Linked DNA regions of Arabidopsis thaliana. The protein of the gene in region 1 interacts with the protein of each later gene in a pairwise test. Each region holds a gene or a part of one and is shown in the gene's direction. Other genes may lie near its edges.

Region 1 (6,590 bases):
AAACGGGATGGGATGTTTCGACAAAATACGATCCCAATCATCGTTGAAAGAGTTGCGAAACTCTCCGTCTTTGTCCATCATATATGCGAATCCGGCCATCACAGCGATAACCTAGAGTTTCAACAATCTTCTTATTATCAGACGTCAAAAAGATTCAGACAATCTCTATGAAAAACAAGCTTCAAAAATGGCAAGTCACAGTGAGCAAAATGAACAATTTGATAGTCATCAACTTCCATTGTCAATTTCAAGCACCCACCATGTGTACGCAGTAACCAGGTCAAGATTCGAATCTAGTTCACTTTGTGAGCCAGATTATGACATCATATAAAATTTATCCTCAGAATCTCTTAATAAATGCTTTATAATCCTCACGAAAACTATGAAGAGAAGCTGAGAGAGAGAGATACTCACAGTCTGCACAGCTAAGAAAACCAAAAGCACATCTCTTGCGACAAAGAGTCTGAATTTAGCTTTTCTACGCCACGAATTGTTATCCTCAAAGGGTTCGACTCTCAGATGAAACTGTGCTTTGCAAGTAGTACAGTGAGAGAAAGCAAAACCTTCTTTAACCGATCGCCAATGATCGAGACATGAGCGATGCACGAATTGTTGAGTGCCTTTACACATACAAGGTGAAATCAATTCATCGCCTAACAATTCACTATCGTCCTCCAAACAAATACGACAACAAGGAGCTGAAGAAGCATCGTTCTCTAAATCTTCTTCAGCCTTTATCTCATCGCTATTTCCTGCCACCACAGACGCAGCAGAAGGAGACGCCGAAGAAGAATTGGTGTGATCTCCTAACAAAGGAGCGGAATCACTTAGTTTCTGTGAATCCGGTGGCTGCAATTGTACTTCACCTTGCATCATTGATCCAAACCTTCGCTAACCCTAAATTTCAGACAAGAAATCTGTGGGTGGAAATCAATCGGTGTGATTAGAGGACTAATGATTCGAATCGAGTCAAATACATTAGCGTCTCTGTGTTCGTTGATCGGCTAGAGAATAATCGTGCGGGGATGTGAGAAGATTATTTACAGAAGTGGGAGAGAGGCAAAACATAAAACTGGAGAAGAAGGGTCAATGCGAGAGAGAAACGAAAGCTTCTTTATTTTGGGAATTGAAAATTACAGAGAAAAAGGGAAATGGGGTGAGAGAGGCTCGAACTCTCGACCTCAGGATCACTCAATAGCTATGAGACCTACGCGCTAGCCAACTGCGCCACCACCCCAATGTTGGGAATTTGTACACGTGTTAATTTATTATATCATATTCATTTATTCTCCTGGCAAAACAGTGACCGGTCCACCACAAATTGCCAAATCCTAGTATCATTAGTCAAAGCTTTGATGTACTCGTAAACTTCTAATATTAACCGCCATTTATCAGTAAAATCGGTTGAGTTGTTGCTGCTAGATTATGATTAGTAGATTGCTGCTATAAATTCGGTTTACAAAAATTGTATGAAATGGCGTAATTTTGGTTTTTGTATCTGATTATTGTTCATTTAATTCGGACAGTGATTGAATCTCTCTCCTAATTTCAATGATACGTAAACCGATTGAGATATCATCAACCCGGCTTTGTTATTATCGACTAATGGTTGTACCGGTCGGTAAAGTCCGGCTATTAAATTGCATTATTAAATTTAGGTTCTTTAACGACATTTAGGGGGAAGCACATGAATGCTGCAATAAATGAAAGAAGCAATTGAATAAAGAAAGAGAAGAGAGAAGACCGTTGGAGAAGACGAGGAAGCAACCATGTGCTTTGGTTTCTACTTGGTACAGCATTCCATGAGCTTTTTTCTTCTCTTTGACTAGTATATTTTATTGTAGAAAATTAAATGGAGGAAAAAGCTAAACTTTCTTAATCACAGATGCAGATTGATTCTCCATTTTTCTCGGGAGAAAAGTTCCTCGCCGGAGATGGAGCATATGATGAAAGAAGGAAGGTCTCTTGCAGAGACGCCGACTTACTCTGTTGCTTCGGTTGTTACTGTTTTGGTCTTTGTTTGCTTTCTCGTTGAACGCGCCATTTACAGATTTGGAAAGGTGTGTTTTTGTTTTGTATTTTTTCTTCGTGTGTGTGCCTACTATATGTTTGTTGAAATGCTCAGCTCAAAAGAATGAGTGTGAAGAACGTATTATGATTTTTTTTTTTTTTCTGCACACTTGCCACTTGGGTTAACTCTTGCTCTCCATGATTCATGAGCTGGAAATGTTTTATCTAATAATGGGTGCTAGAAAGTGAGAATTTTTATGGACGAGATGTTTCTTCTTGGAGATATGTGTTTATGCTTGCTAAATGTCAGTAGAAGTAGTGTTGATGTTTTCACTCTAAGAGAAGTCATTATTACAGGATGTGTCTTTCATGTTAGATATATATGAGGAGCTAATTTCATGTTCTGTTTTGTTTTCAGTGGTTAAAGAAGACTAGAAGAAAGGCACTTTTTACTTCACTTGAGAAAATGAAAGAGGGTATGTCAAATAAACCTGTGCTGATGTTGTGGTGCTTTATACTTTCTTTCTTTTTCGTTTGATTTTGACTTGTTAAACTTTCTTGGTAGAGTTGATGTTGCTGGGACTTATATCACTTCTGTTGTCACAAAGCGCGAGATGGATTTCAGAAATCTGTGTTAACTCTTCCCTTTTCAATAGTAAATTCTACATTTGCTCTGAAGAGGACTATGGAATCCATAAGAAAGTTCTTCTGGAACACACCTCTTCTACAAACCAGAGCTCCTTACCTCATCATGGAATACATGAAGCCTCTCATCAATGTGGTCATGTAAATATTTACTTTTTCTATCGACTTAAGAGCCTATTTTCCTTTTGACTTTTAATTATATTACTGAACTGGATGTTGGATCCAATGCCAGGGCCGTGAACCATTTGTGTCGTATGAGGGACTCGAGCAACTCCTAAGATTCTTATTCGTCCTGGGTATCACTCATGTTCTATACAGTGGCATTGCCATTGGTTTAGCCATGAGCAAGGTACACATCCTAGCTCCTAAATCTACATATGAGTGTTAAATTTGTATTCTTAAGTATTTCTATGTTGCTCCGAAAGGAAGAGATGTATTATACTTGCAATCAACTTTATCCTCATGTCTAGAGGATGTAGAGAACCTCATGATCAAATAATTAGTGGTCCTAAGTATATGTCAAATAGAAATTATCTTCAATCTGAAAATTGAGGGAAAACCTTCGATATTATCATTTATGTGCATAGAGTGTTAGTAAGATTAAGCAGACGAACATATCAATACCATCTGAAACAGTGTTGTCTTTTTATCACGTAACACAGATTTACAGTTGGAGAAAATGGGAAGCCCAAGCGATCATAATGGCTGAATCAGATATCCACGGTAAATGACAAGACTTTTCTGTCTCTCCTTCAAATTAAGGCTTGTATGTTTTTGATGGGTCTCATCTTGAGGGCACATGAGGAACTGTGTTATCTTAGGATTAAGAACAGCATGAAACTAGGATTCTGTTAAGTATTTAGGTTGTTCATTCATGAACTCACTTAAGCTGTGGAGAGGCTTTTATGCAGATTTGCAAATTTCGCTTCATCTTGACTAGCAGATCAAATCCAGTATAATCACTTATAAATACTGATATAGGAAAAATTCCTTTCTGTCCTAGTATAATCACTTATACAGGATTGAAATGAACTGTGTGGAAAAGAGATGTATCTCTGTAATTTTAGCTTTATCACAAACAGCTGATTCATTGTTAAAGATACTTAATGCCTAGGATGCTTTAGTTTCCAGTCATATATACCCTAGTCTTCTTGACTTTGTTCAACAGCAAAGAAGACCAAGGTGATGAAGCGTCAGTCTACATTTGTTTTCCATCATGCCTCTCATCCTTGGAGTAACAATCGTTTTCTCATTTGGATGGTAACTCCCCATGCTTTTACCTTAAGCTGTAATTTTTTAAAAATTTCATATCTCTAGTTAAGAACACTGTTATATTTTTCTCCAGAAGCTATTTTTACGGCATTTGTCCAGCAATAAAATATATGTTTGCATTGCAGCTTTGTTTCCTGCGGCAATTTAGAGGCTCCATACGAAAGTCTGACTACTTCGCACTTCGGTTAGGTTTCCTCACTGTGAGTAACTTTTTTATTTCGTTTCTCAGTCTTTCCTTCAAATTTAAAATATAACTTTCTAGTAATTTCTCAAGAATTCTCATCTAATCTGGTAGCTGACATGATTAGTTTTCTGAATCCGGTCTTCATTACTTTAAAATTTCAGAAACATAATTTGCCATTTACATACAACTTCCATATGTATATGGTACGGACGATGGAAGATGAGTTTCATGGCATTGTTGGAATTAGGTATGCGTTTCTGAGAATTGAGATCTTATCAAAGACTCTTTATTCAACTGTTTTCAGAAGATTTCGTAAGGGAGTTACAGAATGGGACTGATGAATGTTTCTTGATGAATCAACAGCTGGCCACTTTGGGTTTACGCTATAGTATGCATCTGCATAAATGTTCATGGTAACTTATCGGTTCAATAAATACAAACTACATTCCATTTCTATCTCCACATTAAAGCTTTGTCTTTACTAATTCAGTGATTTCCTTGCAGGCCTGAATATGTACTTTTGGATATCATTCGTTCCTGCCATTGTAAGTAAAAGCAAGATTAAGTAAAAAGCTTGAAATTCATAAGGCAGTACTAACACTCAGAGCATGTGTTTGTATCTGTTTTGTTGTCTAAGCTTGTCATGTTGGTTGGAACCAAACTTGAGCATGTTGTCTCCAAGCTTGCTCTCGAGGTTAAGGAGCAGCAGACAGGCACATCTAATGGGGCTCAAGTCAAACCACGTGATGGGCTCTTCTGGTTTGGGAAACCAGAAATTCTGCTACGGTTGATACAATTTATCATTTTTCAGGTAAGCAAAAAGACTTTTCCTTTCTCAATTCTTCAAGCCATGATATTACTCTATTCACACAGATGATCCTTATATATTTCCTGCTAATGCAGAATGCATTTGAAATGGCAACATTCATCTGGTTCTTGGTAAGGCCACCTTATAAAATGCATCAATACTTAAATCAGCTATGCAAAGTTTTTCAGTTTTTGAGAAGATCATCAATTTCATGTATCAGTGGGGAATCAAGGAAAGATCTTGCTTCATGAAGAACCATGTGATGATATCAAGCCGGCTAATTTCTGGGTGCGTTTCAAATACACAACAATTCGCAGCAACACACTGTCTCTTAAGATTTTTTTTTTCTTTCTGGTGAATGCAGGGTTCTCGTTCAGTTCTGGTGTAGTTATGGCACTGTGCCTCTCAATGTAATCGTTACTCAGGTTCGTCAAAACCTTTCATATATCTACAATTCCACAATCTTAAGCCTATCCAAGTCTGTGACTAAACATCGTTCATAAAAACTCTATGGTTTCACCTGAATCTGAACAGATGGGATCTCGGCATAAGAAAGCTGTGATAGCAGAGAGCGTAAGAGACTCACTTCACAGTTGGTGCAAGAGAGTGAAAGAGAGGTCTAAGCACACGAGATCAGTGTGTTCCCTTGACACAGCAACAATAGACGAGAGAGACGAGATGACAGTGGGGACATTGTCTAGGAGCTCATCGATGACTTCACTGAATCAGATTACCATAAACTCCATAGACCAAGCAGAGTCTATATTCGGAGCAGCAGCTTCATCCAGCAGTCCTCAAGATGGATACACGTCGAGGGTGGAAGAATATCTGTCTGAAACATACAATAACATCGGTTCGATACCGCCTTTAAACGATGAGATTGAGATTGAGATTGAAGGTGAAGAAGATAATGGAGGGAGAGGAAGTGGGAGTGATGAGAATAACGGTGATGCTGGAGAAACACTTCTTGAGTTGTTTAGGAGGACTTGATCTTGTTTCTGCTTTTAGAAGCTTGGTTCAGTTGTAATTACTTGACATCCATACAAGAATAACAATTAACAAAGTAAATCTTTTGTTGGTCCAGTAAAAAAAAGTATTCAATGATCAAAGTACATCTTTTGTTGGTTCAGAGGTAAATTTAAAATATAATAGCATGGATTGGAACGAGATATTATGGCATTAGGAAACTTTTTGATTATGGCAGTATAAACAAAGACCACAAATTATGGCAGCTATACATATATTGATTTCAAAACAGAGATAAAGACTTGTCACCTGTCATTTGATTATTTATGAATTTACCTCTGCAGCATTTTCCTTCTTCTGTGCAGTCACGCCTACCGATGGATTTGATTAATTTCCTGTCGATTATTACTAAGTTGTATTTCTAGTAAATACAACTTAAAAGTAGTTTTGTACTCGGTCTTAAAACTAGTTTTGTACATAGTTTTTGAGTAAGATACTTTGTTTTTTTTGGGACAAAGAGTAAGTTAGTAATATCAAATTTTATCATAGTGATTGTTAATTTATGTCAACTACGAAATTAAGAAGTTATCAAATCTGATTTGAGTTATGATAACAATGTCATTGATAGACTCGGTCAATTATGGCATTAAGAAAATCTAAGGATTTAAGTAACCAGGTATCAATTATTACCGCCGTTGGTATTGA
Region 2 (5,491 bases), 430 kb from region 1:
TTTCTTCTTTACTAAGAAAATTTCTACATTATTTTAAGATTTTTCTTTTCCATGTAGTTGTCTCATACTTCCTTCGAAAAGATCTTTCTCTAACTTCAACCTTGGGGATCGAGCAACCATATTTCAATCAACAGATTCTTTCATCACTCTAATAACGGACAAAAAAAGAAAAGATGTCAAAAAAAAAAAAATTGGAATATGCACGTTGATACTATAAGTTCATTTAAATCAGTCGTTAGAGTAAACCTTATTGAGAGTTCAAATTCATTTAAAAACCTGATGAGATAATTATATAATTTCTTATAAGATTTTTTTTTCTTGTAAGAATTTAACGAATAGAATTTTTCTCTCTATTACTTAAAATTCCTCCTCGTCAAAAATTGCAAATGCTTGGCAGTTTTACCATTTTCTCAGAACTACCGTATGAGAAATAAAGTACGTATTAAAAAACAATACAAGCTTTAAAGATAAAAGAGGCAACAAATTTTTTTGACAAAAAAATTAGATGAAAAGAAGTGACGACAAATAACTGAGAAAACACGTTTTGCAAAACTAAAAAAAAAAAAAAAAAGAGAGAGTTGGAAAATGTTTGGAGCTGGTGGGCATTAGTTGGCTATGCAACGCACGGACGCGGATACTTTTCAACTCGTTGCTTACGCGGCCACGTTTTCGTCACAAACCGTGTTTCTTTTGCGGCCTTTTAAGTTTTAATCAAACATTTTTGTTTTCATTTGAATCTTTTTTTTAAGGCGGTTATACGAATAAAATCATTAAAAGGAGAAACGGGCCTTCATGTTTAGGTTTTTGTTCTTCCTCATTTGGGTTATTTAGCTTATTGGTTCAGCCCACAAGAGTTTCCTTCAATGGATAGGGCCTTCAGTTGCATGCCATCATCCTTTCTTGTTTCTCTATAAGCCATTTTTGCAATGAGAATTTCTCAATTTCTTATTTTTGCAATAAAATCATTTTGCCTTAGATGATGGTGGAATCATCCGTTTTTCTTTATTTTGACCCGGTGAGTAATTGAACGCAAAAAATAGTCCAATTATTCAAAACCTTACAATTTCATATCGCCATAATAAACCTAAACATGATTCGAGTGAGCAACTACATAAAAAGGGGAACGAAATGTTGGTACAAAACTGAATTCCAACCCAATCAAGTGCATACTAAACTATTGAGCAAAAACAAAGATAAAAATCAGTTCACCTACCCTAATTAAAACATGATTAGGCCTAAAAGACTATAAGTAAAGATAAAAAAGATGCCATTTTAGAGTACGTTTTGGTAAATTGGCGCCATCGTGTTATACGTTTAAACCGTATAACCTGAATCATGCAGCACGTGTACGGCTCACATTGGCCCAAGCTTGATTAACAAACAATAACGTCATTTTCGTATTTCAACAATTTTGATCGCTCAATCCTTTCGACCTAATTTCCATATTAAGTAATTTATTAGTTAAAACAACGGACTCAACCAAATTACATATTAAGAGAATATTTGAAAATTGTCTATGTAGATGAACATGTATTTGAAAATTGCGTAAGCACACTCTTTCTCTCTCTCTTTTTTTTTTTTTTTTTTCCCCCTCTTCTTTCTTTGAATAAAGATGACATTTTTTTCTGTTCCAAACACAAAACTGCATATTGATAGTGTTATTGAATACTCAACGTCTCTTCTTCCAGCTTACGTAAGTGGAACTTACTTTTTGCCCCGTGATCCAACAGAAAATGACGAATGCTCCCTCAAAATCATTTCGTTTCAACAAAAATATGTATTTTATCCATAGAGAAACAACAAACCTTACACTATATACCCTCTTTTAACGTGCCCACTTTTCATTATTTACACAATTTCCCCAACAAATTTAAAACAATTTACAAAAAGCACTCAACTTTCCTAAAGTAGATTCCTTTAGTCCAATGGAATTCTTACAACATCTTCTTCTTCGCCACCTTTTTCTCTCCACTTTAAGCTTTTTCACTCTCTCTACGCCACGACGACTGTGAAGCGAGAAATGGCTACTTCCGATCAAGATCGCCGTCACAGAGTCACTCGCAACCGTCCACCAATAGCTCGACCCTCTACTTCTTCATCTCGTCCCGTTGTATCTCCTCCTAGATCAAAAGTTTCGAAGCGTGTGCTTCTCCGTGTAGCTTCCGTCGCATGCGGGATTCAATTCGGATGGGCTCTTCAGCTTTCTCTCCTCACACCTTACGTTCAAGAGCTGGGGATCCCACACGCTTGGGCTAGTGTGATTTGGCTTTGCGGTCCTCTCTCTGGTTTGTTCGTGCAACCGCTCGTTGGGCATAGTAGCGATAGGTGTACTAGTAAGTACGGTCGTCGGAGACCGTTTATTGTCGCCGGAGCTGTGGCGATTTCTATCTCTGTTATGGTTATTGGTCATGCGGCGGATATTGGATGGGCATTTGGGGATAGAGAAGGGAAGATTAAGCCGAGGGCGATTGTTGCTTTTGTTTTAGGGTTTTGGATTCTTGATGTTGCTAATAATATGACTCAAGGTCCTTGTAGAGCTCTCCTTGCTGATCTTACTGGTAAAGTTCCTGACTTTAGTGTTGATTGGGTCTTCAATTTGAAATCATTCAAATGTAGTAAATTTGGGATTCTCGTGATTATACACTCACATGCAAAACATGAAAATGCATAAATTTGTGATTTTGGATACAATTTGGGGTTATATAATTACCTAATTGGTTCCTAACAATCAAAAGGTCCCTTCTTTGTTTCTGGTCGGTGGCTTATCGTTGAGTCACAGAGACTTTGTTTTTTCTCTTTCCCTTGAATCAAATTGTGGATTTTGGTGAAGTTAATCGTAGCCTACGATTGTGTGATAACCTCATGGAGTGAAAACAAAGATATGTTGTGTTTTAATTCTTGTCCTATTGCTTTATTTTCAGAGAATGATAATCGCAGAACCCGAGTTGCAAATGGCTACTTCTCTCTCTTTATGGCTGTTGGCAATGTTCTTGGCTATGCTACTGGATCATACAATGGTTGGTACAAGATCTTCACTTTTACGAAGACAGTTGCATGTAATGTGGAATGTGCCAATCTCAAGTCTGCCTTCTACATAGATGTTGTCTTTATTGCAATAACTACGATCCTAAGCGTCTCAGCGGCTCATGAGGTGCCACTTGCTTCATTGGCTTCTGAAGCACATGGGCAAACCAGTGGAACAGACGAAGCTTTTCTTTCTGAGATATTTGGAACTTTCAGATATTTTCCAGGAAATGTTTGGATAATCTTGCTTGTTACAGCATTGACATGGATTGGTTGGTTTCCATTTATTCTGTTTGATACTGATTGGATGGGTCGAGAGATCTATGGCGGTGAACCGAACATAGGGACTTCATATAGTGCTGGGGTCAGTATGGGTGCACTTGGTTTGATGTTGAATTCTGTTTTTCTTGGAATCACTTCTGTGCTCATGGAGAAACTTTGCAGAAAGTGGGGGGCTGGTTTTGTTTGGGGAATATCAAATATCTTAATGGCTATTTGCTTTCTTGGAATGATAATCACCTCATTTGTTGCGTCTCACCTTGGCTACATTGGCCATGAACAACCTCCTGCCAGCATCGTGTTTGCTGCTGTGTTAATCTTTACAATTCTGGGCATTCCATTGGCGGTAAGTTTACTCCTGTAATTCTGCTGTCATGTTACTTACACTATTACTTATGATATTTTGCCTGCTCATCTGTAACAACATGATGAAATTTATTTACGCTTTCGCTGTAACTAATGCTATTGCTACTCTTCTGCAGATAACTTACAGCGTCCCATATGCGTTGATTTCCATACGTATTGAATCCCTGGGCTTAGGTCAAGGTGTGCAGGCTTATCTTTGGGTGTTGTTTCTTATAAAAGTTCTGTTGTGTTGTTTCTTAGAAAAGTTCTGCTCAATGATTTTACTCTACATATGAGTGTTGTTTCTTATAAAAGTTCTGTTGTGGCAGGCTTATCTTTGGGTGTGCTAAATTTGGCGATAGTCATCCCACAGGTACACTTCTTTCAACCATCCTTTTAGCATTATATTTGCCGCAACTCAAAATCATATTCTTCTTTGAATGTTTCTGCCTGTAAAAGGAAGTCTATAAGCATAACATGCAGCAGAGTTACTGCATTATTTGTCAATTGTCATTAATAAACGATTCGTTTTTTTAGTTATGGTCATTGGCCAGTGATGAAAGTACACTTTTTATTTCTCTATATTAGTTGATTGATGAATTTCTTCCCTATGTTGGTTATGGTTTTTGGCATCAAACTCAAATTCTGTTGTTCAATCATTTATGTGTTTGCAGGTAATTGTGTCTGTTGGCAGTGGCCCATGGGATCAACTGTTTGGAGGTGGGAATTCACCGGCACTTGCAGTAGGAGCAGCTACAGGCTTCATTGGCGGAATTGTAGCTATCTTGGCTCTTCCACGGACAAGGATTCAGAAGCCCATCCCTCTCCCATGAGATTCTCTCTTTTGTTATATAAGGTAATAATGTCACAATTCTTTCACAAAAAGTACATAGTAAGCACTTAAGTTGTCACTGATTATTAAAAGCGGCTAATGCGAAATAGATGAGTGTCAAGCGAGGAACGCATAAGGGGAGTGCTTGGAAATGGCAAGGAGATGGAACACTTAATGTGATCCTTGTCGAAAATTCGTGCAATGGCTTCTCGTGTGACTAACTTATTTGCAGCTACTAGGACTTAATCCCCTCTACTTTGGGGACTATGATCCTTGTATACACGAGGCACCATAGAACCAATGAAAATAATACATCATTCAGTTTGTGAGGTATATGCATCTCTCCTTTATTGGAAGTTCCAGTTCGGGATCTTCTCTGTTTTTTTTGTTGTTGTTGTAAATTAATGTAAAAACCTGTGTACAACAGAGTGTTTGTAAGGGCCCCTGAGTTCTGTAACTGTTTATAAAGTTCATTTTCTTTAGAATTAGTTTGATAAAGAAAACCTGAGATCCAAAAAATTTACATGATCTGTGTAGCAAAAGTAGAAAGGAACCATTACGAGTACTAGTAGTCTCTATAGTAGCAGTAACCACCAATAGTCAGCAATAGATTAGGATGACTCTTGGGAATATTAAGACCATCTCCAATGGTTAAGAAGTAATTGGTTCTTAACCAAACATCTTAACAATTATTTATACTAAAATTTTGAAACATGACATGTAACTGTTTTTTTCACTCATGAAAACTTCTTAGCTAAGAAGCAAATCTTAGTTTTTAATTTATTTTGATTTAATTTTCAAAGTTTAATTCTAAAATATTATTCTAAGATACACCTAAGATAAACCATTGGAAGTGCTCTAAGCCTAGTAGGAAGGAATAGTAGCAAATCCCAGTTTTCTTCTTGAGTGAGATGTTTGAGATTGAAATTACTGTAATGCTATTGAGATTCTGTAGGCAGCGTATCAATAATTGAGAGAAATAAGTAGATGCTAATACAGCTTGAGCAATAC

Evidence for each region. The genes of interacting proteins can lie anywhere in the genome.
Region 2: the proteins of MLO4 (region 1) and SUT4 interact in a protein complementation assay, tested with the Arabidopsis thaliana proteins (one large-scale study listed by BioGRID).

What each region holds. Positions count from the first base shown.
Region 1 is NC_003070.9:3,671,254-3,677,843, reverse strand, and holds MLO4 (Seven transmembrane MLO family protein), read left to right. Parts: upstream 1-1,710; 5' UTR 1,711-1,790; exon of another isoform or gene 1,791-1,885; 5' UTR 1,886-1,934; coding exon 1,935-2,060; intron 2,061-2,428; coding exon 2,429-2,486; intron 2,487-2,575; coding exon 2,576-2,796; intron 2,797-2,887; coding exon 2,888-3,004; intron 3,005-3,317; coding exon 3,318-3,378; intron 3,379-3,823; coding exon 3,824-3,915; intron 3,916-4,052; coding exon 4,053-4,127; intron 4,128-4,272; coding exon 4,273-4,358; intron 4,359-4,474; coding exon 4,475-4,524; intron 4,525-4,615; coding exon 4,616-4,656; intron 4,657-4,748; coding exon 4,749-4,922; intron 4,923-5,014; coding exon 5,015-5,050; intron 5,051-5,139; coding exon 5,140-5,207; coding exon of another isoform or gene 5,208-5,277; exon of another isoform or gene 5,278-5,283; coding exon 5,284-5,344; intron 5,345-5,453; coding exon 5,454-5,909; 3' UTR 5,910-6,088; downstream 6,089-6,590. Other genes in the region: AT1G11020 (RING/FYVE/PHD zinc finger superfamily protein), read right to left, coding at 1-111, 415-876.
Region 2 is NC_003070.9:3,242,238-3,247,728, forward strand, and holds SUT4 (sucrose transporter 4), read left to right. Parts: upstream 1-1,748; 5' UTR 1,749-2,020; coding exon 2,021-2,558; intron 2,559-2,921; coding exon 2,922-3,649; intron 3,650-3,785; coding exon 3,786-3,849; intron 3,850-3,977; coding exon 3,978-4,021; intron 4,022-4,322; coding exon 4,323-4,481; 3' UTR 4,482-4,504; intron 4,505-4,590; 3' UTR 4,591-4,979; downstream 4,980-5,491. UniProt on the Arabidopsis thaliana protein: Responsible for the transport of sucrose into the cell, with the concomitant uptake of protons (symport system). Can also transport maltose at a lesser rate. May also transport biotin.